2 linked regions of the Xenopus tropicalis genome follow. The protein of the gene in region 1 purifies or fractionates together with the protein of each later gene. This does not show direct contact. Links are inferred from orthologs where the notes say so. Each region holds a gene or a part of one and is shown on either strand. Other genes may lie near its edges.

Evidence for each region.
Region 2: the proteins of nckipsd (region 1) and gemin2 purify together in Homo sapiens (co-immunoprecipitation; 3 studies listed by BioGRID and IntAct, counting the BioPlex papers as one, with this or other methods). This does not show direct contact. The link is inferred for Xenopus tropicalis from reciprocal best matches to the Homo sapiens genes NCKIPSD and GEMIN2.

The regions. Positions count from the first base shown.
Region 1 is NC_030680.2:136,177,876-136,194,857, reverse strand, and holds the start of nckipsd (NCK-interacting protein with SH3 domain), read left to right. Parts: upstream 1-7,754; 5' UTR 7,755-7,843; coding exon 7,844-8,014; intron 8,015-16,982. UniProt on the Homo sapiens protein: Has an important role in stress fiber formation induced by active diaphanous protein homolog 1 (DRF1). Induces microspike formation, in vivo. In vitro, stimulates N-WASP-induced ARP2/3 complex activation in the absence of CDC42.
Region 2 is NC_030684.2:114,039,727-114,055,909, forward strand, and holds the end of gemin2 (gem-associated protein 2), read right to left. Parts: intron 15,396-16,183; coding exon 15,311-15,395; intron 14,084-15,310; coding exon 13,994-14,083; intron 12,895-13,993; coding exon 12,835-12,894; intron 12,585-12,834; coding exon 12,468-12,584; intron 12,315-12,467; coding exon 12,270-12,314; intron 11,588-12,269; coding exon 11,519-11,587; intron 10,854-11,518; coding exon 10,743-10,853; intron 9,332-10,742; coding exon 9,273-9,331; intron 7,101-9,272; coding exon 7,055-7,100; 3' UTR 6,287-7,054; downstream 1-6,286. Other genes in the region: pla2g4f (cytosolic phospholipase A2 zeta), read left to right, coding at 1,309-1,503, 2,293-2,459, 3,405-3,591, 3,726-3,961. UniProt on the Homo sapiens protein: The SMN complex catalyzes the assembly of small nuclear ribonucleoproteins (snRNPs), the building blocks of the spliceosome, and thereby plays an important role in the splicing of cellular pre-mRNAs.

The sequences.
Region 1 (16,982 bases):
AGCCTCTGGGAAGGGACTGGGGCTGTGGGATAGCAGGTATAGTAGGGAGAGATGGCGCCTATAGTAGCAGTGGGGGGATAATAGCCTCTGGGAAGGGACTGGGGCTGTGGGATAGCAGGTATAGTAGGGAGAGATGGTGCCTATAGTAGCAGTGGGGGGATAATAGCCTCTGGGAAGGGACTGGGGCTGTGAGATAGCAGGTATAGTAGGGAGAGATGGTGCCTATAGTAGCAGTGGGAGGATAATAGCCTCTGGGAAGGGACTGGGGCTGTGGGATAGCAGGTATAGTAGGGAGAGATGGTGCCTATAGTAGCAGTGGGGGGATAATAGCCTCTGGGAAGGGACTGTGGTTTGGGATAGCAGGTATAGTAGGGAGAGATGGTGCCTATAGTAGCAGTGGGGGGATAATAGCCTCTGGGAAGGCACTGGGGCTGTGGGATAGCAGGTATAGTAGGGAGAGATGGTGCCTATAGTAGCAGTGGGGGGGATAATAGCCTCTGGGAAGGGACTGTGGCTGTGGGATAGCAGGTATAGTAGGGAGAGATGGTGCCTATAGTAGCAGTGGGGGGGGGATAATAGCCTCTGGGAAGGGACTGTGGCTGTGGGATTGCAGGTATAGTAGGGAGAGATGGTGCCTATAGTAGTAGTGTAATAATAGCCTCTGGCCCCGTGACTGCTACAGACAACACTATTTATTTCCTATAAGTATGTACTGTGCCTGACTGACTGTCACCCGACTGCAGTCATTTATGTATGGCCTTGTCAACACTGCCTGTGGCAGGCATGGAGTATAATTAACATACTAATCCATCTGCACATAGCTGGTGTGACAATCTCAGTATTTAAATGGGAGATTATGTAATTATAGCCATCTATAAATATCTTTATTGCTATAATTATTGAACAATGAGTACAGTTAATGCTCCTGGCAGGAGATGAATTGACTACACCTCAGGCACCAATAATAGGTCCAATGTAAAGTGATGTTGAAAGTTCTAAGCCCTTGTCTTTAAGGCTACTGAGACACAGGGCCACGGGCCGTTCCCCCCCAGGCATGGGCCCTCGGGTGTGTATGCAGGAAGTGCAGCCCTGGGTGCACCCAGTATGTAATGAACGCTCAGTAACCTAAGTATAACCAGTCTACCCAGTAGTCCCTTTGCATGGCACGCGAGTCACGCACGGGGAGGTCTGTGTGCACATAATATCACTATTTCTTTGTGGCTGTGAGACCTGAGACAGGCAGAACCTTCCTCTGGCCTAATTACATGTAAACAGATCCGTTTTTCTTAGAGAGAAGGTTCCTTAATGGGAATCTGTTTCTCTAGAACAATCCAGCCACGCTGTGGGTCAGTGGGGTCACATTACTGACTCATGTTGGATATCTAGTGACATTTCTTGGTATTTTTTGCAGCGGTGATGGTTTTTCTTTTGAAAATAATTCATCTTCAGTGGTGTGACCCTCTCTGGACTCTACAATAACAGGAGGTGGATGTGCCAGAGGGCCTGAGGAGGAGATAGGCCTCAGTAGAGGAGTCACGAAATCAAGGACTAAGGTAACTGATCCTTACAAGTGATGGTAGGGAGCCGGGACCCCATGGGAAATGATTTGACCACCCTACTGCACGTTAAATAATAAACAGCAGTCATTATGGTGTATAGGGTTTCCACCTGTCTGGGTTTGACCCAGACAGCCCAGTTTTCAGTAGGGTTGCCTGGATCAAAACTACCTGCCCGTTTTCCCCAAATAGGAAAACCCACGCAGGATTCTCTAGGACTGACGCTGTGATTGCCAATTATTGCGTCATAGCCCCGCTCCTGTGATGTCATACCCCGCCTCCCTGCCCGGAGTTCCCGGGCAAGTGAGGTGGCAAACCTAATGATGTAGTATCTGCAGAGGTGGGTGCAATCCTGGGCACTAGGGGGGCACTTACTATACACCTGCCCTATCAAGTGGCTTTCAACATTCAGAAAACCAGGCAGAAACCCTCTGAATTGCATGACATCCTTACGAGCCAGAAACGTCATCATGTGATGATGATGTTTCCGTGATGTCATCACACATCATCACTGACTCTGGGTTTATATAACCTGACAAAGGTGCCAACCCTAAGGTAGCTTGCTAGGAGGGTTGCCACTTTTCTAAAGAGTTTTTAATGGGGGGCGGGTACGGAAGGGGTTGGGGCAATGATGTAAGATAGGCAGAACAATAATGTAAAATGGGCGGAGCTATGACATTGTGGTGGATGGAGCGTAATGGAGAAGTGTTTCAGGGGAGAATCGGGGGGAAGGCCAGGGAGCTGATATTAAGAGTATTGCAAACTCACCAGCTACTATGTTGCCTATTAATTTGTAATACCAGCCCCTGCCATGGCAGGTGTTTTACTGTCTAGGCTAGTAAAATACTGGCAAGGTGGCAACCCTACTTGCTAGTCCGTGTCGCTTCAGCCTTCCCCATAAATATGGAGCGACCTGTCAGATATGTGCGTCAGTGTTACACAAAGGAGGCGAAGCAGGGCCTGGATTCCACAGACAGTTTGGCTCCCAGTTTGTATCCTGTCAGGATGATGGGTATTGTATTTATATTGGGAAACAACTGGCATAAGGGCTTGTTTGTAAAAAAAAAAGTTCTTTTTTAAAGGATGAGCCTGGAACTCAGAGCCATAAACTACAGCACTGTCATCACCCTCTGCAGCACAGCATAGCTCTGTGTGAGGGATTGGGATGTGGCGTCAGGTGCAGAGTGTGTGCCGGGGGCACTGGGGGCCTTATTGTGGGTAGAAGTGGGCTATTTCCTTATTAGGGGAAGCTGATAGCTGTGCCAACATGGGGCGACTGGGATCTAACATCGCAGGGATGCAGAGGGGTAACAATAGATGCGGCAGACAGTGTGGCTTATAGGTGGCTTAGTGGGACCCTCTCTGGTGTCGGTTTTCTAAAGGCCAAACAACTCACCATAAAGATCATGGGGGGGGGCAGGAATATAGAGGGCACAGTCAGGGCAGAGAGGGAATATAGAGGGCACAGTCAGGGCAGAGAGGGAATATAGAGGGCACAGTCAGGGCAGAGAGGGAATATAGAGGGCACAGTCAGGGCAGAGAGGGAATATAGAGGGCACAGTCAGGGTAGAGAGGGAATATAGAGGGCAGATAGTTGGCAGAAAGAGGGAAGATAGAGGGAAAATAGTGGGAACATAGTGGACAGATAGTAGGAAGATGGCCAGATAGTTGGTAGATAGTGGGCAGATAGAAGGAAGATAGTGGGAACATAGTGGACAGATAGTGGGCAGATAGTGGCCAGACAGAGGACAGATCTTGAGCAGATAAAGGGCAGATAGTGGTTACTGGGTTTTTCATGTGTGATGCTTAAATCAGGAGAGTAAGAAAAAGAGAGTTCACTGGATACAGATATCTGAGACTTTCTAGACCTTTTAGATCCAGGGCATTTAAAAGATCTAGAAGGCCTCATATATCTGTACCCAACGCTCTCAGATACCTAAGAGCCCCGAATATGTAAGGCCTAGAAGGTCTAGAGTATCTGACATTGCAGATAAATGTATCAGTATCCATATAATAATCATTCTTTTGATATCATTAATCATAATGACTGCTCCTAATTATCTCCGTGTCACTAGACAGAAGGTCTTGGTCCACTGGTGGGGCAGAACTTTCCTTGCTCCCAAGGGGTTAACCTTCCTCTCTCCTTATTCCTTTACTTGCCTGGGCCTCAGAGCTTGGGCAGAGCTTGGAGAAGGACACACAGAGGTTCTTAGGAGACGATGGCACTGATAAGAAGAACCTATGCCGTCCCCTCGGAGACAGAAACAATTCGCACTTTGTGTCTTGCCAGGAAAAATTCCACCATTCAAGGACACGGAGATGACGGCTATGTTCCCCCTTTTGTCCTGTGTGCCAGGCTTAGTGAGAGATGGCTTCTGGGGATGGGTCCCTGGGGCCAGGGCAGCTGCCAATAAACTCATGGGGGAGAAATTAGCAAATGAGCTTAAAGATCAAAACTGCGGCATGAGATGTTTAACCCTTTAAAGGAACCCATCCTGTTGGTACCAAGCCCAGAATAACATTCCTAATGAAGCGCTCTCGGTGCAGCAGCGAGGGGAGCGGGATGTAAATAGGTTTAGGAATCTGGCTAAATACATGTCCATCAGTGTGGCCCATGGAGCAAGGGGATTCCTGGGAGGCTGCGGGATCACAGGCTGGAGATAATGTGAGGAAACCTAATATGTCGGGAGGATTACACATAGGGCACATGGTGCACATAGATACGGGTCCCTAAGGGTAGCGCCTTCCTAGTTTATCCACTGCCTGACCTGTAGAAACATGACTGCCGGGTAGTTGTTTAGTTGGTGTTGGACTGGGGCGCCAGGGGCACATCAGAAATGTACTATATGTACTATATACTCATTTGGCATGAAGGGCCACCAAGGACCACAGCCCAAATAAGGGGCGTGGCTAGGGTTGCCTTTGCCAGGTTTTAAACCCAGACAAAGACATCACGTGATGATGTTTTCTGGCCTTGTGATGATGCCAGGGAATGGGGTTATTGCATCTGCCGGACGCAATCTGGAGGGTTTCTGCCTTGAAAAACCAGGCTGTTTGGGTCAAAACTGGACAGGTGGCAACCCTAGCCACAGCCCAAATACTTCTGTCTAAGACTAAACTGCATCTATAAGCAAAATGTCTTGCCTTCAGCAGCCTCCGCCATTACGGTCACATGACAGTAAGGATTCAGTTTGCTGAGGATTCAATTCATTTCAAATATTGTGGAATTGTTTGGAGAATTTGGCGCATGGTGCTATGGAGAAGCTCTGCACAGGGTCAGACTGGGCCGCCGGGACGCTGGGAAAAATCCCTAGTGGGCCCCAGCCCTAGTGGGCCCCAGCAGCCCAGACCCGACCCTTGCCGGCGCTCCCCCTGCCCGACCGTTCCTCCCCTGAAGCATTAAACATACGTGCACTCAGGGGAGGACATTGGGTGGGGGACCCTGCGGGGGGGGGGGTTAGGGGACGCCACCGGCGGGGGCACCTGCAGGGCCCCTGGGGCGGGAGCCCCGGTGGGCGCTGCACCCCCCAGTCTCTGCATATTTATGGTGAGGGGGCAGTAATGTAGGGACCTGTAATACAGAATATTGAAACTAATTGCGGAGTGGTTGCAAGGGCACTTGTGGTTTCTCTCACTATGTTTGTAAATGAGCCCTTATAAGCATAATGGGATAAATATAATAAATATACGTATATACAAGAGTTTATGTCTCACTTGATCATCTGACAAGAGATTCTAGAATACTAAACACTGTAGAAATCCATTGCCTCTGTACTTTTAACTGAGAAATGAATAAAGCGCCAATGTATTACAAATTCTTTCAAGGGGGTAGAGGAGAAATGTATCCGTCTAAAGCTGCTCAGACACAAGCTCTAAGGGACCCTCTCTTAAAACTGCAACTTGGAAAAGAGTAATGTTTTGTGTTATAATCACAATACTGTGTCTGAACCATCATTTCTGTAGATATATCGCCATCTAGTGGCCAATCACTGGAAGTACCACCTAAGGCTATATATGCCCAGTCCTAACTATATTCTGGGCAAAAGACTGTCCCTATTGCTTTAGCCCCTAGTACATTTATACAGGCCCTGGCAGTGTCCTACAGCTATTCCCACTAGGTTAAATAAAGATTTATTATTAAAAGTAGGCATATTGTGTGACAACAAGAATGTGCCAGTGCATTATACTTCTCTAAATATAGAAGGAATGTGCTTAAAAAAGTTGGGTTCCCCCCAAACCCTACTAGTCCCGCCCATCTGTGCCACTTCCTGCTCCCTTCTTTCCCAGGCTGCACAGGGAAGCAGGGGGCACGCAGCACTGTAAGATAGGAACCAATCAGCAACTAGCCCGACCTGATAGGGAACTGAAATATGTCATGATTGTGTGACTGCAGGGCTGTGATTGGCTATCCCTCCACTGTGCTTCTGGTAGGGACCATCATTTGGAACAAGGAGTGTGACAGGGGGTATGTGTGGGAACAGGGTCACACTGGGCCTGAGGGACAGCGGAAAAGAACGCGATGGGCCCTGTGCCTTATGGGCCATGCAGCCCGGACCTGATCCCACTGCCCACCCCCTACACACATGGGGGGAAGGGGCTGGCAGTCAGCAGGTGGGTGAGCAGGCGGTCGGGTCCCTGAGGGGGTGTGGGGGGCCCTATAGTAGCAGTCCCAATGGGCCTCACACCCCACAGTTTTTAACACAAAGTAAAACCAGCACCATATATTATTCATAACTGCCTACAAGATTAGATATCTATTCATCTATCCTATGTCTCATTTAAACACCCAAGCTGCCATTTCATTAACTATTTTGCTTTGCTGTTTGGCCTCTAGGGGGCGCTGCTTCATTACATGGAGCCATAGCTACACTTTGGCAGGATGGGTGCAAATCAACCAGCGGCCCTACGGCTACTGACCAAGAAAAATAATGTGAATGTCTAGCATATTTCCCCTTTATATAAACAACTCAATGTAAAAGTGCGCAGCCCGCTCTTCTTTGTACATTGCATTAAGCTTTTCATATAGATGGGGTAATGGCAGATTCTGTTAGTGCCTATAAGAGGGGCCTGGATGAGTTCTTGATCAATCAGAATATCCAAGGCTATTGTGATACTAATATCTACAGTTAGTATTAATGTTTGTATATATATAGTTTATGTATGTGAGTGTATAGATTGGTTAGTATAGGGTGTGGGTGCTGGGTTTACTCGGATGGGTTGAACTTGATGGACAATGGTCTTTTTTCAACCCTATGTAACTATGTAACTATATATATTACATTGTGGGGTTTTTTTTTGCACTAATATCTATAAATAAAGCAAGTTGCTTGCACCTTCAGCCCTGCGCTTATATGAGGCTTTAAAACAAAAAGTGCAGCCAGCTTCTGCCGAAACCCGGGATCGAACCAGGGACCTTTAGATCTTCAGTCTAACGCTCTCCCAACTGAGCTATTTCGGCTGCCGTGTCGGTACCGGGCACCGGTGTCTGTTATGACGTAACTAAATGTATCCGGTAACGCTATTCTGATTGGTAGAGAATATGTAAGCGGTTTGTGTGGGAGTCGGTGTTAGTGAGCGCAGCGCCGCGGCGGAAGGATACGGAAAGCCTGTGTGTGAGAAATCCAATAGGGAGCCTAATGTAACAGGGCTGCACCGTCTCTGTGGCGCAATCGGTTAGCGCGTTCGGCTGTTAACCGAAAGGTTGGTGGTTCGAGCCCACCCAGGGACGCGGTGTTTTTCAGTCACATACGGATCTTTATCTCAGTCATTCTGAATATCCATTTTTTTGACGATCATGTGACTGTTTTACTGGTAACCTTTGCGCTCCCTATACTGGTTTACAACACTTATTGTTGGGCGGATGAAACAATTCTGTTGAATTCATTCATTGTAAAGAATTTCAGCACATTCGGATATTTTCGGGAATTATTTACTAAAACCCGGTGTGTAAGGCAGCGGAATGGACTCGGGGTGGCGCTCTCTGCACGCTAACAAGCCGGTGTGTGCTATGGCGGTGCATGGATATCGCTGCTTCCCTCAGACAACAGTGTGTATGTATTCAGTGTCAGACGAACAATAAAGTTTGGTGAAAAAAAGAAGCGCCGGTCGCGCTTGTAGGTCACATGACCTGAGCAGGGGCGGGGCTGCTCCTGGGCTTTCCCCGCACAGTGCGCGGCCCCGACTGGAGATCACGTGACCGGCCTTGGCACGAGTACGCGCTTTAGTTGCGATTGGCCCGGTCCGGTGAGACAGTTCCGCTGCTGAGACTTGGAAGCAATAGGAACGCAATGTACCGAGCCCTGTACGCTTTCCGCTCCCCGGAGCCCAACTCGCTGCTGTTCGGAGCCGGAGAGAGCTTCCTGATCCTGGAGAGGTCCAATCAGCACTGGTGGCTGGCGAGTCGCTGCAGCAGCGGGGAGACGGGGTATGTGCCGGCTTCTTATTTGGAGAGGATCCAGGTAAGGCAGTGAATGCAGAACTACATCTCCCAGCATCCAACACTAGGGCCTGTACCCCAGAACCCCAACACTAGAGCCTGTACCCCAAAACCCTAACACTAGAGCCTGTACCCCAGAACCCCAACACTAGAGCCTGTACCCCGGAACCCCAACACTAGAGCCTGTACCCCAGAACCCCAACACTAGAGCCTGTACCCCAGAACCCCAACACTAGCGCCTGTACCCCAGAACCCCAACACTAGAGCCTGTACCCCAGAACCCCAACACTAGAGCCTGTACCCCGGAACCCCAACACTAGAGCCTGTACCCCGGAACCCCAACACTAGCGCCTGTACCCCAGAACCCCAACACTAGAGCCTGTAACCCAGAACCCCAACTCTAGAGCCTGTACCCCAGAACCCCAACACTAGAGCCTGTACCCCGGAACCCCAACACTAGAGCCTGTACCCCGGAACCCCAACACTAGCGCCTGTACCCCAGAACCCCAACACTAGAGCCTGTACCCCAGAACCCCAACACTAGAGCCTGTACCCCGGAACCCCAACACTAGCGCCTGTACCCCAGAACCCCAACACTAGAGCCTGTACCCCAGAACCCCAACACTAGAGCCTGTACCCCGGAACCCCAACACTAGCGCCTGTACCCCAGAACCCCAACACTAGAGCCTGTAACCCAGAACCCCAACTCTAGAGCCTGACCCCAACACTAGAGCCTGTAACCCAGAACCCCAACATGTCCCGCCCACTGTGTCCGCAGCCTATTGGTTTAGAGCAGCCCCACACTGCTGCAGAACATCTTGGGGAGCAGAGCTGTCAGCCTGTATCTGTTAGTGCCTGTATATAGCGCTGTGTAACCATCATGCCAGTCTCACTCCCTGCCAGGGCTCTGCTCCTCTATGGCAGCTTCAAACCTCTGCAGAGCAGCTTGGGGCCTGGCAGTGCCTGTGCGGGTCGGTGCCTGTGCGGGTCGGTGCCTGTGGGGGTCGGTGCCTGTGGGGGTCGGGTCGGTGCCTGTGGGGTCGGGTCGGTGCCTGTGGGGTCGGGTCGGTGCCTGTGGGGTCGGGTCGGTGCCTGTGGGGTCGGGTCGGTGCCTGTGGGGTCGGGTCGGTGCCTGTGGGGTCGGGTCGGTGCCTGTGCGGGTCGGTGCCTGTGGGGTCGGGTCGGTGCCTGTGGGGTCGGGTCGGTGCCTGTGGGGTCGGGTCGGTGCCTGTGCGGGTCGGTGCCTGTGCGGGTCGGTGCCTGTGGGGTCGGGTCGGTGCCGGGTCGGTGCCTGTGGGGTCGGGTCGGTGCCTGTGGGGTCGGGTCGGTGCCTGTGGGGTCGGGTCGGTGCCTGTGCGGGTCGGTGCCTGTGCGGGTCGGTGCCTGTATGGGTCGGTGCCTGTTTGGCTCAGTGCCATGGCTGAGAGTTGCAGAGCTGTCAGGGATTAAAGCCCCACTGTTTTCCATGGGGTAAGCTGCACTCCGCTCCCTTAGGGAGTGTAAATGGTCAGAGGGCACATTGCAGCCTTTAGTAACAAAAAATACCCTGTAATTATGCCCAAAGCTGTAGCCTTGGCATAAAGGCACTGGCAGCCTTAGGGTTTAACCAGATAGGAAAGCAAACAAATAGAGCTTTCATTATTGCCCCCCAGTTATCACTCACTGTGTTGCCCCCGTCATATGCTACCCAATGGTACATTCCCATTATGTTTACTCACTGGTCACACACAATACCAGAATCAATACATGGAATGCCCAACTGCCCCCTCCAACTGTCAGTTTAGACATAAATAATGTACCAAATTCACCAGATAATTAATATATATATGTCTATGCTGTGAGGGCTATTAGCCTGCATTGGGTACTTACTGGGCCATGAAGAGGATGAATGGCTGAGCCCAGGGCTGTTGGTGTGAGTAGGATAATACAGAGAGAAGTAGTGGGGAAAGTAAATGCACAGTCTGGCCGCTCCTATTAGCAGCCCCCAATCTGATGCGCTGTCACTGTCACTCCTCAAGGGACATTATTGGCACAATGGAGTCTTGCGTGAAAGTAGAGAAAGCCATATAAAATCTGTGCTTGGGTGAAGTGTTCCCTGTGCAACACTGATTCCTTCCTTCCTCACAAAGTAGTCTTTCCACAGTGTATAAGGATATCTTCAACTGGATCTTTATGACTCTTGTGTGTTATATAGTGAATAATGTCCCCCCCATTATAGTATAAGGATATTAGAAGTCAGTGAGGGATTCTGTAACCATATAATGGCTGCTGCTGGTACCATAGTTTGAGAAGCACAGGCTTAGTAAGTATTGGGCATATATATGGGCAGGCTGGTAGGTGAGCGTGGCGGTGCTACAGCACGGTGGTATCTTGTGGCTTCACAGCAATTGGTTCCCAATTAGGAGTAGTTGGTCTCATACTGAATTGGTCTTCAGTTTTTATTTATTAATTGTTTTTGACTTCCTCTTCTGATCATTTCCAGCTTTCAAATGGGGGTCACTGACCCCCAGCAGCCAAAAACCTATTGCTCTGTGAGGCTGCAATGTTATTGTTACTTTATATTACTTATCTTTCTATTCAGGCCCTCTCCTATTCATATACTAGTCTCTTATTCAAACCACTGCCCAGTTGCTAGGGTAATTTGGACCCTAGCAACCAGATAGCTGCTGAAATTGCAAACTGCAAAGTTAAATCATTCAAAACCACAAATAATAAAAAATAAAGACCAAATGCAGCATGCTACATCATACTAAGAGTTAATTTAAAGATGAACTACCGCTTTAATATAACAGCGCCCCTAACACCTGTTTCCTGATGGAAACTACATGCGTGACAACAGGAAACATGCTATTCATTTTTTAAGAATTTGATTTTTAGTACAGGGATGTAGCAAAAGAGGCACAACCCAACCAGTCACATGTCATAGATTGTTGCCTTCTAAACAACGGGTGGCCCATACAGTGAATATATATGGTATCTGTTTATTTAATATCATAGGTGTCTATAAAAAATATGGGGTGCAGACGGCAGGAATCAATTCCGTGTTTTATATCTGGGAACTGAAAGTGGTGGGAATTTGTTCTAGGGTTAAAAGGGAAATGATACTCAAATGGAAAGTGCCACTGGGAATGGGGGCCTTTTATCATCTTTCACTTTTAAATGTTCCGGAAAAAGCTTGTATTCATTATGAAAATCCCCTGCTGAAGCCTTGCTTGTCAGATCTTACATCTGATCTGGATCTGATGTTATACATATGATGTAAAGTGAGCCTGCAGAGTCTCAGGAGTCGGCTTAAAGGGGAACTCCACCCAAACACAAATTATGCTTTTTGAAAAGTAAACATGATTTCAAGCAGCTTTGCAATATACATCAATTAATATATATGCAGCCTTTTCATGATTTTTAATGGTTAGGACAGATTGTAAGTTCTTTTGGGCAGGGCTCTCTTCACCTCTTGTATCGGTTATTGATTGCTTTATATGTTACTCTGTATGTCCAATGTATGTAACCCACTTATTGTACAGCGCTGCGGGATATGTTGGTGCTTTATAAATAAATGTTAATAATAACAGTTCCCTAAGCCCCGCCCCCTGTTCCCCTGCTGATCTGGCTGGCTACTTTGAGACTCAAATAAAATGTAACAGTAGTCGCCTGTCCCCAGCCTTCAGCCTGCATCCTCCCAATCCCACAATTCCCTGCACACGTGATGTCAATAAGGAAAGGAACATCCCAGTGCAATGCATTGTGGGTTATGTAGTTCCTGCATGCTGTCGAAGCTGGAACATGTATAGGGCCTGAATAGAAAAAAGGAATTTAGCACTCTGCAAAGCTCTTTGCTTCCATACGTACCATAATTTGACCAACACGGCACATTGGCAGATTACATTTTCAAGGCTGCCCAATGGACAAACCAACTAAGATACTGGTACATAGATATGGGCAGGGACAGACCCGCTTGAGATCGCTAAGCAAGCAAGGGGTAATGGTGTGTCCTGCGTGCCGCACATCAGTGCCAATTAGTTGTTAGATCAGCTCATTTGCAAAATGAAATATCAGTTGCTCAGTGCAACAGCAAGTAATTACCGGCCTCATAAGCCCCGGATTAGATATTTATTAAGTGTGTTTCTACAGTAAAGTCCACTGGCGCTGATTAAACATGAAACTGAATATAAAGCCCCTTTGTACTGGGGGTGAGCGAGTGCCCACTGGGTTATTCCAAGCAGCGCCCAAGAGCAACACTAAGGAAACAGAAGAGCAATTGTCCCTTAGGCAACAGTGATTCCGTGCAGCCAAATCTTTCTATTCCCTTTCTATCAGATATACAGTTTTATGTTCTGATATGTTATCATATGATATGTTCTGATACAAACCTAAACTAGAGCATCCGGCTGCTGTACCAGTGCTTGTACAGCCGCTCTATACAGGCCCTCCATGCTGGCCCACATTCTCTCACAGCCATTGCTTGTATTACCACTGGGCTGGCCTCCTGTCAGTGATTCTGATGTAGCTATGTATACAGGTATGGGACCTGTAATCCAAAACGCTCAGGACCTTGGGTTTTCTGGATAAGGGGTCTTTCTGTAATTTGGACCTCCTTAGCTTAGGTCTACTAAAAATCATTTTGGATAGTATTGTTTTGCCTTCAGTAAACTTTAGTTATATATTAGTTGGGATCAAGTACCAGGCACCTTGGGTTTTCTAGATAAGGGGTTTTTCTGTAATTTGGACCTCCTTTGCTTAAGTCTACTAAAAATCAGATAACAGATCCCATACTGTACGTACGTACTGTAAGTACACAGTGCCAGCAGTATAGTGCCTAGTATTCATATGCCAGAGTAGCTAGACAACCATGTGAATTCACACACAGATATCAACTTGGCCACCCTGTTACGCCGCTCTGGTGTGACTGAGGGGAAAGGGGCCACATCCATGTGACCTTTGGGACAGTTGACATGTCTGTTCACCTATGGCAGGGGTGGGCAAACTACGGCCCGTTGGTCTTTTTAATCCGGACCTCCGACACGGCCCCCTTAAAGTGGACCTGTCACCCAGACATAAAAAGCTGTATAATAAAAGCCCTTTTCAAATTAAACATGTAACCCAAAGTCATTTTTTTATTAACACATCTATACCCATTATATAAGCATTCAAAAGTCCCAGCTGTCAATCATATATTGTGTGCCCCGCCTCTATGCCTTAGGCATAGGGGTGGGGCAGTCAGTTACTTTCACTTTCAATTTAGGACTTCTTAGATGTCACTGCCCTCCTCTCATTCCCCCTCCCTCCTCATCATCTAATTGTATAGCCAGTGCATGGATTTGGGTATCAGGTCCCCCCATACCATAATTGTGTAGCCAGTGCATAGATTTGGGTATCAGGTCCCCCCCGTAAGTGAATGTGGCCCCTGAACCAAAAAGTTTGCCCACCCCTGACCTAGGGGCACCAGGCAGGGTGTAGATGTTGATGGGTAGAAAAAAAAAAAGGCCAGGAATGATGACTTTCTGGAAAAAACAGAGTGGAAAATATGTTTATTGTTGCCCTAAATGTGGCTGCCCCGAGTGGGGCATTCCCTGGGGGGATCTTATCTTCACCCCCTTAGTGCCAAGCACAGACTGCATTATTCTCCAGTCATAATAAGCACGCAGTGTAGGTATATCGGGAATATGAAATGAAAATGTGATGCCACCAAATAATGGATAGATAAAGGGTTTCTGCTTCTGATTTACATAGCGGTGTTGCCTGCGTAATTTAAAACAGTTCTTGTAATTACTATGTTACGGGCCGGGCGCCTCTCTGAATAAGGTGTAGGCTATGCATTCCCACGACTAGTCTTTAGCCAACTGTCAGATTGGCTCCTCTCCAGATAATCTATTATAATTAAATTTGTCATAAGAGAGGCCATTCAGCCTGCAAAGACCCGGAACTATAAGTGAACGACCCTTGCTTCCTACAATAGCATACCTCCCAACATTTGAAAAATGAAAAGAGGGACAAAAAGATTTGGTGCGCGCAGCGCGGCAATTTTGACCACGCCCACTTTTGTGGCCACGCCCCAATTACCACACCCCATCTTTTTTTTTTTTTTTTTTTTTCAAAAAATTCTCCTTTTATATAGTAGAAATGGCAGGATCAGACGCAAATGTGCTATACCCTCATACTGTATAGTATGAGAGTATAGGGTAACAATATAGCAACTCCTACATATAAAATACAAATATAGAGAGAAGGCAGTGAGTTATTAGTGAGTTATAACTATCTACCGGTTTGCCCCCCCATACACAGTGCCCCCAATAGCCTAAAAGACAGTACTACTCATACACAGTGCCCCCATACACAATGCCCCCCATAGAAAGTGCCCCCCATACACAGTGCCCCCAACTGAGACAGTCCCCCCATACACAGTGCCCCCAATAGAGACAGTGCCCCCAATAGAGACAGTGCCCCCAATAGAGACAGTGCCCCCAATAGAGACAGTGCCCCCAATAGAGACAGTGCCCCCAATAGAGACAGTGCCCCCAATAGAGACAGCCCCCCCATACACAGCGCCCCCAATAGAGACAGCCCCCCCTCCATACACAGCGCCCCCCAATAGAGACAGTCCCCCCCATACACAGTGCCCCCAATAGAGACTGCCCCCCATACACAGTGCCCCCAATAGAGACAGCTCCCCCCATACACAGTGCCCCCAATAGAGACAGCCCCCCCATACACAGTGCCCCCAATAGAGACAGTCCCCCCCATACACAGTGCCCCCAATAGAGACAGCCCCCCCATACACAGTGCCCCCAATAGAGACATTCCTCCCCCCCCCATACACAGCGCTCCCTTCGTCTTCTTCGTCCCCAGCGGCTCCTCAGTGTATGCGGCTCCTTCTCCGGCGGTCCCAGGCCCTTTTATAAGGTTGCGCCCGTGCGTAATGACGTCACCCGTGCGTAAGGGCGCAACCTTATAAAAGGGCCTGGGACCGCCGGAGAAGGAGCCGCATACACTGAGGAGCCGCTGGGGAAGAAGGAGCGCCAACGCATCGCGCTGTCCCGAGTAAGTCAATGAATGTTCCGCATTTCCGTAATTTATTACGGAAATGCGGGACATTCATGGAACTATCCGGGACAGTGGGACGCGCTCTAAAAACCGGGACTGTCCCGCGGAAAGCGGGACAGTTGGGAGGTATGCAATAGCCCCTCTCAGATTGCCTGCTATGGCAATTATCTTGAAACCATTTTGCAATGCTGGGCAGGCCATTGTCACTTATAGGTGTGACGGCAGCATTTCCCACTGTGGCCCAACAAGTGATTGCGTGGCTGATTTCTGTAGAATTCAGTGGGGTTCCTTGTGAGCAAATTTAGTGCTTCATGTTTGGGCCAATTAAAAAATACATAAATAATGTGCTATTGTTATTATGCTAGGAATTCTAGATATACACTTGGGACAAAATTTGAAAAGCTGAATTATAGTTTTTCAAATTTCTTGTGATTTTGAGATTCTATAAAAGTCATGGGGGCGTATATGAAGCATTTGTGCAAGTTGATGTTTGAGGTCTTGGGTTTCTATTGAGATTATACATCCTCGTTGAAAATGAATGGAACAATGTGATTACCGTTTGCCTGTTAAACATAGTAGAATTTTAACCTTTTTTTTTAAAAAAAAAAATATGCTAGCAATGGAAGAAAAAAAGTGATTAAAATGTTGAATGCAAATAAGCCTCTCGCTATCAAGCCACAGGTTAAAGCAGAATCAATTACCCTTTATATAAAAGGCTTGCTAACATTTACTGCGCTATTGAGTCGTAAAAGTTATGCTAAATCTGAACCTGTAATGTGGTGGGAAATACCCCAACCCGTACAATGCAAAAATGAAATAGAAAATATGGTAAGCTTCCATGACTTCTTCTCTGTGCAATTCATTTGCCCTACTTCTGTTACCTGCTGAAACACTATAAACCCACCCAGTTAGCTCAATTCCCTGCCCATTTATAGTCCCCATCCACCTCCCCCCCACCAGCCTGCTCATTTCCCCTCCCCTTATGTCATAACCCCACCCCCAAATGACATCATGTTCGGCCCTCCAACCCGTAGGCTGATATTAGTCACAGAAAAAGGTGGAAACCCTATTGGTGACACAAGGACAGCAGAGAAGTACTTTATAATTTGTGAAATAGGACATTGTAATATATATAGTTTTTTCATTACAATTTCAATCAATTGTCAAATTTTTGCCGACTCAGGTATCCAAAATTGTTTTTGACTCCACAGCTATGGGTAAAAATTCACAAATTCAAATTTTGATAGAATAAGCCACTCTGTGTCCTATAATATACACTAATGGGCTTATCAATTTTAGAGTGTTTTTTGAGAGTGTTTTTCTAACTTAAATAAACTGGCATTTTAAATAAAATTCAAATGCTGGCTTATTTATTAATATCAAATAAAAAAACTCGAATAACTCAAATTTGCAAGATTATAAACTCGAAAAACGTGAATTAAAAATATGGCTTGGCTTTGCCTAGGGCAACTCCCATTGACTTCTACATAAACTCGCAAGCTTTTAGATGCTGAAGTTTTATATTAAATTAAATTGGGCTTTTTTGTACCTTATAAATATCAGACATTTGAGTTTTTGAATCGTCAAAAGAATCCAAATTCAAACTTTAATCATAATCACCCCCTCACACTATTGGGAATTTTATCAGGAGCCAGTTAACCTGCTGGTGTGATTTTGGCCTATGGGGGGAAACTCTGGTACCTCAGAGGAAACACACAAGCATTCCTTCTACATATTTCCTTATACAGGTATAGGACCCGTTATCCAGAATGCTCGGGACCAAGGGCATTCTGGATAAGAGGTCTTTCTGTAATTTGGATCTCCATACCTTAAGTCTGCTAAAAAAAAATCAATAAAACATTAATTAAACCCAAAAGGATTGTTTTGCATCCAAAAAGGATTTTTTATATCTTAGTTGGGATCAATTACAAGGTACTGTTTTATTATTA
Region 2 (16,183 bases), on another chromosome or scaffold:
CCATACCTGAGTAAAGAGCCATAGAAGCTTTCTCTGTTTATTTAAGATTGCAGCTGCCATTTTAGCTTGGTCTTCATAGCTTCCTGCTGTAGCTCTAGCTGTTGTTAGCTCAGATTACACATTCTTATGGGAGGGAGAGTGAATTCTTATGAATTCATATGGAAGGGAGAGCAAAAAAAGGGAGGGGAAGAAGAGAGAGCTGTGCAGACTCATGCCCCAAACCTGATGGAGCCCTAAAGAAAAGGAAGTCTGATACCAAAGAACATGTTTACAAAAAAGTAGACAAGAAATCCTGTGTTTCTTTTGATAGAGAACTCTGTGCAGCTTTTCTGTGAGTGCTTATGGCTGTATTTATAATAAAATGGCCTGCTACAGCCTGTGCTTTTTTGCCAGTATTGATAGCTGATTTATGCTCTCTAATTCAGTCACATACCATTCTCGTTATCTGCCTGACGTATGCCAGCCCACAAGGGCATTTGATGACATAAACTGCATACTTTGAGCAGCACAAGAATCATCCACGAATCTTGATTGGATTCACTTTTCTGGGGTCATAAAGAACTTCCCCTAATTGTACATTGGAGCGACTTTTAAAACTCAGTCGCGGTGACTAATCGTGGCGATTTAGCTGCTGTATGTTAATATAAATGTTAAAAAAAGTTGCATCAACTAATCTATTTACATTTCATTCCGTTATTTCTCTCTACACAGTTAATCCCTATATCAGACAATTACCTTTTCCCTTCTTGTATGCAATTACTGGAGGCCTTTCAAATTCCGTAATAGGGGTCATTTATCTTTTAGTAGTGAAGAGTGACGCCTAAGGATCTTAGTAATGTGTTTACTCAAGGTGTTATATTGCGTTACAAAGGTGACATGGTTCATACTTAATCTTTTTGTCTTAAGCAGTTTTATAGGCATAAGCATGTGAATAAAAGCTTCAGCATGTTTAGAAACCTTTGCGTCCATTGGGCTGGTATTTAACGATAATCTAGGGAAGTGCGCTGTTGATATTCTGAAAAAGGTACAATATAGGGTCCAATATGGCTCACCCATAATGCAAAAACATCATCGATGTTATGTACCTGTTTTCTACAACCCATCTGAAACCTTTCATTCGTATAAACAAAATCTTATTTCGATTTGATTCATAAAGATGTTTGCATAGGCAGGGGAAGGCGTTTCATGGTTAATTACCTTGATAAAGTGCCGGATCCTAAAGAATATTAGTGGTGCTGTTCCAAATTGTATCCAGTGCCCTACAGACCAGCCAATATGGTATTTAAGGCTTTTTTTTTCTCATCTCAGATGACTGTCGAAAATTACATTGGCGAGATTCATCTCGGCTGAAGACGCGCCTAGTCATGCCAGGAGGATTTGTTTCTAACATGTTCCAAGAGATTTTCAAGTCCCGCTTTACTGCCGGCGAGTGGTACAACTTTACTCGGGGACTGTATCTTTACAAGGACTACTTGGGGGTCCGAGAGTTTTTAGCTTGGAAAGGTATGGCTTGCATTGCTTCCTAACAATTCCATGCTTTCTGCAGTCTCTTGGGGGAATGTAATATACAGTATATAAACAATGGGACAAAAATTTTGTTTTATGACATTGTTGACGTAAGATGGGGCTGTTTGATTTTATATAGTGTTTATGTATATTTAATATATACTAAGCTTGTTGGCGTTTTCTCTCACAATAGTTACAGATATAACATAACAGTGTAAGCTGCGACTTGGAGAGATCTGTTCCATATAAATAATATTTTCATTCTCGTAAAGGATATACACTGGTTTAAATAGCTTTAACACCATTTTTTTACTGGTTATACTGCTGCAGGTAATTATGTCCTTTTTAATTCCATGAATGAATTTAAGTTTGTGAAACAAGTTCTTTCACTCTTGGTATGGGCACAGCCAACACTTATTCTGTACTAATCTCAATAAAACTGGAATAGTAAATAAGAGGTTAAGTATAAAAAAAGCATATAGAGCTTATAAAAAGCATAACGATGGCCTATAAAGTGTACCTTTACTGCCCTTATATCGGTGCGTTGAATAATAAAGCTGGGGCACTGCAATTTTTTAATTACTTAAAGTAAATTGGACCTGTTCCCTCCCATGGAGGCTTTTACAGCAGTGCAGGTAGTTTTTTCAGCTTCTGCCAAAGAGCTGATATAATTTCCTTTATGTCTGCATACATACAGAATGTCCCCATAGGGAGTGGCATGACATGAGCAGACATATTGTACATAAATACCTTTATTCTCTATATTCTCTATATACCCCTATTCAGGTACTCATCTGGATGCCTTCCCCAATCAATTGACTCCAATGGAAGAAAGCTTATATTTGGTAGATGGAGGATTTTCTATTAACTCTCCTTTCCCGCTGGTTTTGCAGCCTGAGAGAGATGTAGATGTCATTCTCTCCTTTAACTACTCATGGGGTGCTCCATTTGAGGTGAGTCTGTTAAAAAAGAATAATGACTCTTTAAACCGGAGACTCTATTTAGCTTTACTGAATTATTTGTCTCTGTGTGAGATTAAAAAGTGCCTTCATCAAATGAATATCTAAGGAATAGCTCAGTTTACATGGTTAAATAGTAGTTGAGGGTGGAATAAGGACACATGCTCATTAAGTTCAACCATTTGCTCAGATTAATAGCTGATATTAAGGAAGGTGAGAAACCTCTCTCTAAACCTGCCTTGAGTTAAAAGAAAGATAGCTTTTGAACCCAAAACGGCAATAGGACAAATCTCAGGATCTATTATTTGTAAATCTTGTATTTTTTGCTATAAGGCACTTAATCCTTTAGTGAAACCATCAAATGTATCTGTCAGTATAACCGCTATAGGAAGGGAGTACCATTTATGTGGGACTGGGGTGTCCAGGGCCTGCCAAGGGCCACCAACTTGAGGGCCTACCACCTTCACTGCAAAAAATCCTTGCAGTTGTTGTCACTATTCCCCTCCCCCAGATGCATACCCCCTCTTCAGTGCCTAAACAGCCCCCCACCAGCCCAATAAATAGTGAGTGCCTATGGCATCTTACAGCAGCCCCTCTGGCATTTTCCAGAATCCACAGATTGCCCACTGGGTTTTCTCCAAGTCCAACCATGAGTACTACAACTACATAGCTGTCCTTGTTCACAAACACATGGCACAGTTAAGGGTTCTTACAGCAGTTTTTGTAAGTGCCAATGGGCATAATCGAGTTTAAGTGAAAGTAGCAAAGCAAAAGAAATCCTAGAAAAGAGTCCCATCCAAGTTCCCATTTGCAAATTCCAGGTTGTGTACAGATCCCAACCTCTGCATTTTAGGGCAGTGCAGGTTGTGATCAGCGTATACATAGAGAGTAAAATGGGACTGGGGCTCAGTGCATGTCTGACAATTTTATTTCTTTTAGGTGCTGCACTTGACCTCCACCTACTGCAGAGAGAGAGGCATCCCTTTCCCTGAAATCACCTTAACTAATGAGGATGAGAAGCAGCCAAAGGAATGCTATGTGTTCATGGACCATAATAACCCTAGAGCTCCCATAGTGCTTCACTTCCCCATGGTCAATAACACGTTCCGCACATTCATAGAACCAGGTATGTATGTTGCACAACTGGGGTGGTGGGAGCTGATTTGTCAAACACCAAGTAATTATAATGGCTAACCTCAGACCCCGCACCAGTACTTGTATAAAAAGATATTTCACTAGCCTCCCTAATTCCTTTTGCAGGAGTTGAGCGGAAGACGGAAGAGGAGAAATTAAATGGAGAAGTAGACTTAACTGGAAAGGAATCGCCATTCCGAACAAAGAACTTTACATATGAGCCACAGCACTTTGACCGTTTGGTAGCAGTGAATCGGTACAATGTACTAAACAGTAGGGAGCAGATTGCAGCAGCGCTAAAGGCAGCAGTGGCACGTAGGAAGGACAAATCAACCAAGCTGCCATCTAAAAAACACATGTGATGGGAAGTCTAAACCTATGGAAGTATATTATGTATTAAATAGCACTGGCTGCTCAGGTGGGTGTGCATCAGGGCTGTGTTATTGTTTGTCCTCAAATGCACAAATCATTTCGTTAGGCTGAGCTATAGTTTGCCTGGATGGTGGTGTATTGTAGAAAGTGACTGTACAGAATGTTCCGTGAATGCAGACTTGTCTCTCTTGGTGGCTGTGCAGAGATCTGCTAGGTATCCGGCTCAGAGTAGAACCTAGGGCTAGCCACATACCTCTGCTGTTACCTTCCCCTAATCCGTGCCCTTGTAACTACGCTTGTTCTTACACAGTGTGCAAATGAATGTGCCTGAAAGAATGCACACAGACAAACATCCGTGTAGCGGCAGCAACAATGGTGGGGCTGAGGTGGCCAGCTGGGTTGCCTATAGATGTGAGATTTGCCCGTCCACATGAATAACTTTAGCATTGTTCACTGTGTTTGGCCAGTGTCCTAAATGAGAGATCTGACAATGCCAACATTCTCATCTACCTGCAAGGAGATTTCCGGCCAGACATATTACTGAAAGGGTGTCAAACCTGCCTTCATAAGGCAGAATCAGCAAGGCCAGCTACAAGTTGAGAATCCACTAAATCAGCTACTTTATGCCAAGAATGCTTTATTTTGCCAAGACTTAGAGGACCAGGACCTCCATTAAGTGAGAATAGGTTTGGTATCTGTTCATCCAGCACCTACAAATAAACTATTTGTCCTATTTCATAGAAGCTGTTTATTCTATACCCTGGATACACACACCTCCCCTTACACCTGCGGGAAGGAATTTTTTTTTTTTTTTTGCCTTTTGATAAAACCACTAATGAAACACCATCGGGCAGCTGCTGAGATTGTAGCTCATTACTTTATTAAATTTTGCAGGCGTTGAATGGTTAGGAAATGGTAGCCATGTGTGTATTTTATTGCTGCTTGCCATTTTTTTTAATGCACTTCAAGATTTCCTATTTCCACTCATTTTTACAGTCCCTGGGTTTGTAGTTTTACATGTTACTTGTACTTCCAAATCCATTATCCAGGAAGTTCTGAATTATGGGAAAGACATCTCCCATTATAAGCAAATAATTCTTTTTTTTTTTTTTTTTAGAAATGATACCTTTTCTCTGTAATAATAAAACAGTACCTTGTACTTGGCCCCAAATAAGATATAATTAATCCTGATTGAAGGCAATACAACCCTATTGGGTTTATTTAATGTTTAAATATATTTTTAGTAGAGGCATGAAGACCCCAATTATGGGAATATCCCTTATCTGGAAAACCCCATGTCCCAAGCATTCTGGATAAGAGATCCCATACATGCACTAGAAACATACTGTATATATAGTATGGGTGCAAAGGTACATGCCATTTTCCTTAAGTCAATTATGACCAAAATGGAACAAAATACAACTTCTAGAATAGCACAATACACACCATGGTATATGCAAAAGCAAGAAAAAAAAAAAAACCCTTTATTATACTTAACACTACAAACAATTGCATACCACAAATGTTAACAGTACAAATTAAGTGTGTTAAAGCGGAGCATATCATGGTGTGTTATATTTCCTGGGTGTGCATAAGGCTATTCTATAAGTTATTTAGCACTTTCCCTTAATACACATCCTGTACGGCTTGTTAGCAATTAATTTAGATGCATGCTGCGTGGCTGCATATTAATCAGATTGGTCTGCAGCATGCACCTAAATCAATTGCCAACTAAACATGCATGATGTGGATTCAATATGTGGCTGGTATTGAAGGGATGAGGTTGCAACCGTAAACAAAAACATGGGATTTAAAAGTCCCTGAGCTGGGCCTAGTAGTATTGGTGCCCAACACTGCCTAACCATAGTTCCAGCCCTGCACAGTCCCATGCATTTACTGACCCTAAACTGAAATCAATGTTTTACTCTGGCTTCATAACCCATCGAAACTCAATCACCAACATTCTAATTAGATGCCATATATTGCTGCTGCCAGTTTTGTAAATCCCTCCCGCTGTAGCCTTTTTCAGTTGATTTGCTACTTGCACCATGCTTGAGTGACTGAATAGAGTAAATGCAGCACAAGTGGACACAGTTTCTATTTTGTTTGGAAACCTTTTGCAAAGAAAAAAGGTCAGAACACAATCTAAAAAAAAAAAGAATTTATGTACAGAAATGCAAGAAAATGTTACACATCTGCTAAAAGAAGTCAATGCATACTCTGTGCTTGGGCGGCCTCTGTAAGACAGATTTGGAAAGTCTTCCATATTAAAAAAATAACTCAACCCGGCCAGCCAATTAAAAAGAAGGCAGATGTTTTAGGAAGCACTTGGTTCTCTTTATTTAAAATCAAGACCTAACAAAGGAAAGGGGTACAGTATTTGAATCCACTTCACAGCCCCGGCTTTATGAGTAGGCCATATTACAGAGGCAGCTCAGACACAGATGATAACAGGCAAACTGGGGGAAAACAGTCAAAATTAAAGGCAAATAAATAATCTAAATTGTACAGTTTCACAGTTTTCCCATGCTACAGACTGGTTTAACTGCTCCATCCCAGCTTGTTGATGAACAGCTGGCAGAGAAGGGGTTAACTGCAGGGTGAGGTTAAATGAATGGAAAATGGTTTCCACAAACCCACCGAGGCACTTAATATCTTTCCAACTTTGGCCAATATATGACAAGGACAGAAAAACAGAAACAAACGATAAATGAGACTGCTGCTCCTTCAGGCTCCAGGAAGAGAAAACATTACACTAAACTGCCAATGGCAGGCAAGAGGTCAACGTGCAACTGGTCAGTGCCAAACTCAGGGATGGGCAAAGTGAAGCGCTCTAGCTGTTGTTCAACTGCAACTTGTTCGGCTCCACATCTAAAAGGCTAGAGGATTACCCATGCCTGTCCTTGCACCTTCATATTCCAGGCCGTTGGCACTGAAGAGGTGTAAACCACACAGTGTCCTGAATCCAAAGACTATGTAGTTGGTGCACCACTGGAATGGAAGGGAAGTGGATAGCATGGATATTGCAGAGATGTTCTGTGAGAATGGAGGGTAGGGGGGGTTGGTAAAGCTGCCCAATCATATCAAGATGGGTCACCACAATCAGCCAAATCCCGTTGTTCAAAGTACCTAAGCAAGAGAAAGAAAGAAGTCTGCATTAATAATTAGCAATATGATGGCAGGATTCATCAGTGATCTATGCTCTGTTTGCAACTTTCCAATATGAATTTATTAAAAATGTTTAGTGCTTTAAAAGTTATTTGTAAATGTAATTGCTATTGAAAGTAGCATTTGCTGAACTCCTGGTTGTTACTTTTTAAACAACGTTGCAAAGGTCAGTCTCCTCCAGCAAGTCAGGTCTGTCAGTCTGCTGCCTTGTGTTACACTGTTTCATATGCCACAGCCACCAGGGCAGGGAATAGGAAAGGGCAGGCAAACAGTGATTTTATTAGCAATCATATATACAAATAACTCAAAAACCATTAGAAATTTGCAATGAATGTAGATTGCAAAGTTGCTTAGAATGTTGTGTCCTTTTATTAGGCAAAAAATTATATTCTGGGTTGACTTGTTCTTTAACCTGTTTATCCCAGTACAAAAAAACAAAAAAAAACCCCATGCTATTTGCCAGTTGTGCACTGCAAATATTCTGGAATCAGACCGTAAGAGCAAGTGAAACGTGTCAGCGACTCACAGCACAAGTTGGTTGCCTTCATTTTAGGGAAAGTGTTGGCACAATCTGTTTTAGCCAAAATTTGAACATAATATTTAACATTTACTATTACAGTTGCAGGTTCTGCTGACATAATATTTGAGAGCACCGACTGCATCCAGGGAATGAAGAGTGACCTAATTCCTCTCCAGGTTTGAGACAAAATGAAGGAATTGTGATTTCCTGGTTAATGTGGAACTGTGATTCCACCTTGGTTAGGAAGGGGGGGAGACAGTGTGCAGAACTGCTTTGTCAAGATGGAAAATGAGAAAGAGGGATTCACAGGATAGAGAATAGAGTTCTGACACCTGGTGCGCAGATGATATGGCCACAAAAAAAACAGTCGTCCATGTGAGACTAACCAGGGAAACTGAAGCTAAGGGCTCAAATAAGAGTTCTTGTAGTGCCCTCAGCAAAGTTAAGATCCCAAGGAGGTCAGGGACTTCTGAAGGTAGGCCCCAAGTGGGGTGCTCCCTGGCGAAAGCATTCACATCCAGCAGCAACAGCAGTTGTTTTTTGTAATAGCACCAAAAGGGGCAATATCTGGGCATTGAGAGAATTCAGGCCCGAGGTCAGGCCCAATTGAAGGGAATTTGAAATCATTGGTGTGGACAAATCATGGAATGAATGTGTTGTTAACACCAAGGATAATGCTCTATGGAAATCTGAGCTGCGTCTAGTGCTGCCTCACAAATGTAAGAACTGGCCTTCTTGATTTGAGGGGCGAAGCGGGCCAGTTCCTGCACCCGATGTGATTATCCCAGAGCCAGAGGGAATAGGGGCTAGGGGTATGTCCACCCTCAGGTAGACAGGAGGCGGCAGTCTCAGCAGAAGCAGCAGTGCCTGGTACAAAAGCTGCAGGAACATCTGTGGCCTGGCATGATGCACAATGAGAGTCTGTCTACTTAATGGAGTCCATGCCCCCGGGAAATAAGTTGTCACTATTATTCGCTGGTATGCACAGAGGGAACTAAGGACAGTGATCTCCAAGATGGGGTCCCAAAGGAAGATTAGGAGCGTCGAGCAGGGAAGGGACAGTACCTCCCCGCAAGTGTGGGCAGCCAATAGTACCCCTGAGTGCACAGTTGGTGCCCACTATGGAGGAAAAGTGAAACTGTCGTGTATCCAAAGTGTGGTAAACTCGAATAACCACCCGTTACAGCCAGGAATAGAGGCCTATAGAACTGCGTAATATGCAACCCAGGGGTACTGCCTGAGTAATAGTTGCTAGTGCTGGGGGCACCCCCAGTTAGTACTATGAAGATTAGGTGCAGAGTACGGCTAGATGGCCTGCTCTTCAGGAGTGAGAAATGATCCTGGTGCTGGAAATATCCCACAGAGGGGGAAGCCTGAGAATGCAGCCCGGTTCCGAGAAGGCTGGTAGGGACAACCCCTAGTGTTCCTATGTCCACAAGGAGATGAGACAGATTCTAACGGAGATAGCATTCCTGTAGCTTTCTGGATAATGATTTTCCAGAAAGGGATCCCATACCCTCTAAACATTTAAGTTCTTAGAACTCTTCATTCAGAGTCTTCACTTCTAGTTCAGTACATTGCAGCCAATATTTCCACCTTGCGAGGCTCATTACCTGCCAACCAGACAGATGAATAGGTTCAGCGCAGACACCCGTTCATCTTCCTTATGTTCCTAGGATAAAGAACATTCACAGTTATTCATATTATCGGCTGAAAGGAGCAGCTGTCCCATCACACATACAAATCACTGCCTGGCAAATCATAGAAAGCTTTCTGGAAATTCCCACATTGCTCCATACACTAAATCACATACTGTAATCAACCTTCTGGCCTGAAAAGGTTTAAATTGGTTGTTTCTGAACAGGTGAATCCCAGCTGCCTGTTTTCCCAAGTGAACCCCACACACCAGTTGCCAGTTCAGGATATGTGAATGAATCCTGAAAAGTGCAGCCAAAACCTAAATTTTGGGGACTGGTAATACCAATAAAGAAGGTTTAAAGGGGCTGTGCACCTTTTAAATTACCTTTAAGTATGATGTAGACATTGATCTAAGACAGATTGCAACTGGTCCTCATTTATTTTTTTGTGGGTTATTTTTTAAGTTACTCTGCTTTCTGTTCAGCGGCTCTCCAGCTTGGAATTTCAGCAGCTATCTAGTTGCAAGGGTCTTATTTGCCATAGCAACCAGGCAGTGGATTAAACAGATTGGAATGTGCCAATGAGAATCGGAAGTTGAGTAATACAAAGTAAAAATAACAGTAAAATTGTAGCAACACAGAGCTTTTTTGGTTGGGGTCAGTGAGCCTCATTTGAAAGCTGGAAAGAGGCAGAAAAAGACAAGTAATTCAAAACATATATAAAAAAAAATATAATGAAGAACTACTGCAAAGTTGCTAGGAATAGTACATTCTATAACATACTAAAACCTAAGTAAGAAGTTATCCATCCCATTAATAGTCAATGTGTCATTATGATTTGGGGAAAAAACAGAAATTAGTCAAAATGATTAATGAAGTTAGTAAACCTCCGAGGAATACTAAAGTAACAATCAGAATCATTTAATGTTCAGCTTTTTAACAGCTTCTATAGATTTGGCTATGTACACATTGTAATATGGTTCAGTAAACAAAATAGAGCATTTTAAATGGGTCTACTGGGATAGGTAGTGCTGCATAAATCTTCTGGTCTCTTTCTCTAACAGCCGGAGGGCCACATCGCTTAGTATTCTGACGTAGTCACAGTGCAGTGGGGCGCATGGGCTACTCAACAGTGCAGCCTGTTTGCTGGTCATTGATCTGACGGGCTGAAATCGCGTTAGCCAATCAGATCAGGGAAATGCTAATGAAGGGGCATAAACAATAAAGTTTGGGTCCTAAAATTTCTCCACTCTTTTTTCTAACAAGATTCCAACAAACAGGAGCTTTCATATCCAGGGGCTTGGGGTCCCCTGGTTTAGGCTGAGAGAAGACAATATGAAGCACTAACGTTCCAGGTAGATATATTGAAAAATGATCCAATTTTTAAGTAGACCACATTTATACATATTGTTTAAATGGCAAAAAAAAAAAAAAAAAGGTTCTTACCACCCCAGCTCTGACTTGTGAGCATCTCCGTGCCAACTGCCTAATAAGAGAGTGAGCTTCAGGCAGCAATGGTTTCTCCAGGCAGGCCAGTAGTGCGTAAAGCCAACGACCCTAGAAGACATCCGCAGTATATCTGCATTACTACTTGGGCAGAAAAAGTTGTGTGCAACAAATATTGTGCTGTAGAGTAGAGCTTGCACAGTAAGTATACAGTGAGGAATGGTTCAATGAAAGATGAAGACTATAATTACAACTGTTTTTTTGCCATGTATTGCACTGCACTGAGATTCAAAACAGGCCCTGGCATTTCAAGTACACAGAAAGGCCCAAACACCCCCCACAGGCCCACTAAATAGTGACTATGGCCTCTTACTGCTGCCCTTCTGGTATTTGCCACAGATTAGCAGTCTGGGCCTGCACCCAGTATAGTCACAAGTATGTGACTATGTGCTGATCAGTACTCAGTAGGCACATAGAAGTTAAACAAAATTGTTTAGGTCTGCAACTGTTGGAATATTCTTTTTGATTCAGGGATCTACCAATAATAAGCTACGGTTCTAGATTGTAAGCTCTTTTGGGCAGGGCCCTCTTCACCTCTTGTATTGGTTATGGATTGCTTTATATGTTACTCTGTATGTACAATGTATGAAACCCACTTATTGTACAGCGCTGCGGAATATGTTGGCGCTTTATAAATAAATGTTAATAATAATAATAATAATAATATAAAGACAACACATTGTAAATTAAGATATATATCTATATATATGTTTTACCAGCTCTGGAGTAAAGTTCCTTTCTTCAAACCAGTTCACTAAGTATTCTAGCACACTTGTTACGGTCGCCTTAAAGACAAAATAATTACAGAATAAAAAACACAGATGAATAGATTCTATACAGTTATGTCAACATAAACAGAGTAAAACATAGCAGGACTGAACTTGTACCTGTAATTGTTTTGGCCAAAAGTAAATGGTTGGCAAGACCGATGTCCATTTATTGCCTAATCCTGACTGGCACAGGTCATCGTTTCCTTACAGGAGGACATTTGTTTATCTTACTGCCTGGGGCCCCCAAGAGGTCTAATCAGTGGGTTCAAACAACTTCATCGTATTTGGCCCCATCTTCGAGCATTTCAGTAATTAAGTTAAATAACCTCATCTTTGTTTAGGAGGTCAGCTTTACAGTAACCATTGGGCTTTCTTTATCCTATATTAACATGTTCTTCTTATATTCAAAATTCTCTTTATAGCCAGTGTTTTCCACTCTGCTATCATCTCCCTCTTTCTTTAGGACTGTGAGAATAAATTAAATAATTCTCTTAATAAATAGAGCAGCTTCTGAATGTGCAACTAGAAAAGCATTTGTGCCTTGTTAACCATTCAGGATCCACTAGAAAGTTTTGACTGCATCTAACACAGCAAACAAAGATTTGTAATTTATGCAGAGAATTCCATATTTTGAAAAGAATCAAACTAAAGGATAAATGTTGCAAATGAAACAAAACAAAAACAAAGAAGGTCTTACCTGGCTCATCCGACTAACAATGCTCAGCAAGGGTGGGAAACCAACCTGAAAGAACACGTAGAACAAAACAAAAAAAATATATATAAACAAACTTGTGCCATTTTGCTGGGCCATTATGTCTAGGGGTAACAAAATACAAGTAGGATCTGTACATACATTGGCAATAGCCAAACAGAAGCAGCCATTTGTACAACGCACCTTTATATAATCAATTCCTGGATGCTGGCTGTCACTGTTCAGGGCAGCTGCTAGGTCAGAATATAGCCTTTCCCCCAAACAGAACTTCTTCCAGCTCTCCTCATCCTCTGTGCTTGGCTGGAGATCAGACAAAAAAAATATTTAACTTTGAAATTCAGCACTGTAAAGACACCACTGGGTACATTCAGTAAACATTAGTTCTAAACCGCAGTTCACCCCTGTTAATACTACTATAGTGCAAGATGGCCACACATGAGGATGTCCTTAATGCACAGATTGGCACATTATCCTTAATTCTGTATATTAAAGTCAGTTGAGAGTTTGTACGACAGTCCAAAACACACACAAGTGTAATAATTGCACTCACCATTGTAACATTGCTGTCCAAAGGCTGAGACCTCCAGTGACTCCTGTGTTTGTGAAGACTCTGTGGGGTAAATGATCTTATGTAAGATCCAGTTATGTGATGCAATAATAACCCACCTCAAGGGCATATCAGGAAACGATCCACTTGTTTGGCAAGATTTAAGCTAGCCATACACACACCGAAGATATTGTACGAAACCTTGTATCGTACAATTTTCGGTGCGTGTATGGTGGCTTAAGGAGGCCACCGATATCACAAAAGGCTGCGGATATTGGTCGCCTCGCCAGGTTAAAAGATTTTGATGCAAAATTTACGTTCAGGGCTGTTTCTACCTCCATATCAGATTCAGTCGTAAACGTCTGGAGGGTGGAAGCGACCACTGGTCGCACGGGAGATCGAAAATCGCTACATGTATAGCCAGCTTAAGGCTAATGTTGCATTAGGCTGTTTGCGCAGAAACAGCTGATGGAAGCAGATGCACACCCACTGTTACAAAAATGAATAGCTTTGCATTTTTGCCCTAAAATCCACCGTGTGCACACTGCACAAACAAGGCACACTGATGCAGTGCCTGTCCATGCGCTTAACACACAGAGTTGATGGGTGCAGTTCTGCTCCCATCAGTTGCGTAGAAACACAGGTGGAGAAACAGCTTATTTAGACATTAGCCTAAAGAGAGGCAAATGTGCTAAGAAAAATATAATGTGATTGATATATTAGAGAGAGGGGGCATTGATATGGTTTGGGTTTATTATTCCCCAGCAGGATGTGTGTGTTCATCACTTCCTTAGTTTTTATGACTCAAAGTCCCTAGTGTCCTGCCTCCTAGTGGTGCAAGCTTTACCCACAGTTCCTATATTCCCCAAGGCAAATGTAAGAAAAGGAGGACTGTTAAAACTGTAACAGTTTTACAAGTGGGAGCTATGTAAGAAAAGGAGGAATGTTAACACTGTAACAGTTTTACAAGTGGGAGCTATTTGGCTATTTCAGTGTTTCATATTGTGTGTAATGGGGAAGTGGTCCATGGCCACTGACCTTGGTTTATTTGAACAATATTCAACCAACCACACAGTTCAAAACACCTTGGGCACCATTACAGGACTTGTTTCAGAAAAGAAATGTAATTATCAGAGTAGGAATATCAGAGCAGGAATATTACCTGACGGACAGCAGAAAACTGCGCTACTTGTTGTTGCTGCCAGCGGAGGCTTGGAGAGTACCCTTCGGGAGCAGGCTGGCACCCTGACAGCTGGAAAAAGTGCAATCGCATAGCATATTGAGTAATACAGAAGCCTTATATATACCCTTTTTTAATATGTCAGAAGAGGTGTTATTTTTTGCCAGCAGAAAAACACCTATTACACTTTTTGTGTGTAGGAAGTGTCATGAATGGAATCTACCTAACAGGCATATGCCATTCATGTCACTTCTTGGTTGGCATCTTTTGATGGCATAGACCTAGTGTGATATTAGCATGTAGCTGGCAATTCCAAAGGTGACTATACAGAAGTGTGGAGACTAAATACTTATTATGAATCATTTTGAGCACCAGTGGCTTGAAATAAACAATTACAGAGAATATATCTGAACACTGTAAGGCTAAGTGCACACAATGTGGATGATACAATCTTCTCTGCCTGTGTTCTGTATGTAGGGGGAGAAAAAAAGATCCACTACTTTTTGTATCTTAAACGGCAGGCATGGAGTCAGCTTGTGTGCAGCTACACTGAGTGGATTACAGCCCAAAAACTAAAAAGCATGAATTTTCGGCCTGCTCACAAGCCGACACCATGTCAGTGAGGCTGTACAAAGATGGGAACACAATGCAGGTGATCTCATTTGTACTTCCCACGCTTCCAGGTTTCAGAACCACTGGATTCTTGGAATTTTAGTCAATGTCTCAAACACTGACTTCATAAACGACACACTTAAAGACAGGGCTGCTTTACTTGCCTGGCAGTACAGCTGTAAGGACAGGCACCAATGATTTAGCACTTCAAAGCCATGAGGAAGGCATGCAATTAATGGTCACTATGGCAATCTAATAGAAATAGAATAGTGGCCAACTTTAAAACAGTTGGAAGGAATATTAATACTATGCTGTGCCACAGCAGTGTATTTCATATTGTATTAAAAGACTTTGCATTAAAAAGACATTTTAAGAGCACAGCAATTCAGTTACCCATTGTGCCCCATCCCTAAGGGGGATGTAGCACAGACGTACTGGGTGGGCGATTTTCTTTTTCAATGATTTTTATTTGCATTTTAACTTTTACAGATTGGATATCAATATAAAGTCGTTTTGTACTGAACAATATGCATCCTTAAGGAGGAAGAAAAAAAAAAAAAAAGGAAGGAAGGAAGGAAGGAAGGAAGGAAAGAAGGAAGGAAGGAAGGAAAGAAAGAAGTGGTCCCACTTTTGGTGAATAATGGGGGGGGGGGTGGGTGATTTTAATTCTTACAGCTGGTTACTCACAGATATGCTAACGGTCTGTTTCTTTCGCAACTTTTTTGGATCAATCTGTGCAATGACAACATCTGGACACCGTGCTGCTTCAATCCTGAAAGGCAATAGTTTTAATAAGGTCAAATAAGTACACAAAATGTACACATGCTTCCCTTTTTTCCTGGCATATCTCATTATCTACGATATAGCATATATCAACCCCAAAGACTCACAAGAGTTTTAGTTTTTAACATGCTTGCAAGATATTGGCCAACTATATCACAAAGAACCAGTTCCCCATCAATACTCTAGTGCAAACAGTGTACTATTAATCCTCACTTTTGCCTAGTTTCAAAACTGCACTCTTTTTGTATTACAGGTATTGGACCCCTTATTTGGAAACCCATTATCCAAAAAGTTCCGAATTACGGAAAGGCCATCTCCGATAGACTCCATTTTAATCAAACAATTCAGATTTTTAAAAAGGATTCCCTTTTTCTCTTTAATAATAAAACAGTACCTTGTACTTGATCCCAGCTAAGATATAATTAATCCTTATTGGAGCCAAAACAATCCTATTGGATTTAATTACTGTTTAAATAATTTTATTAGCAGACTTAAAGTAGGAGATCCAAATTACAGAAAGACCCCTTATCCAGAAAACCCCAGGTCCCAAACATTCTGGATAATGGGTCCCATACCTGTATAACATTTTCAAGGCAGCCTACCACTACCAGGCACTTTTAGATTATAAAATAAAGAAATAAAGACCGTCTTTTAGCAGACTCCATTTGTCCGGTGTGCTTGATGTTCCTTCTTAACTAGTGACTTACTTACATTATTGTGGGTACAACTGCAGGCCCCTTACCAAGCAATATGGCAATAAACAGAAATTTAATATAA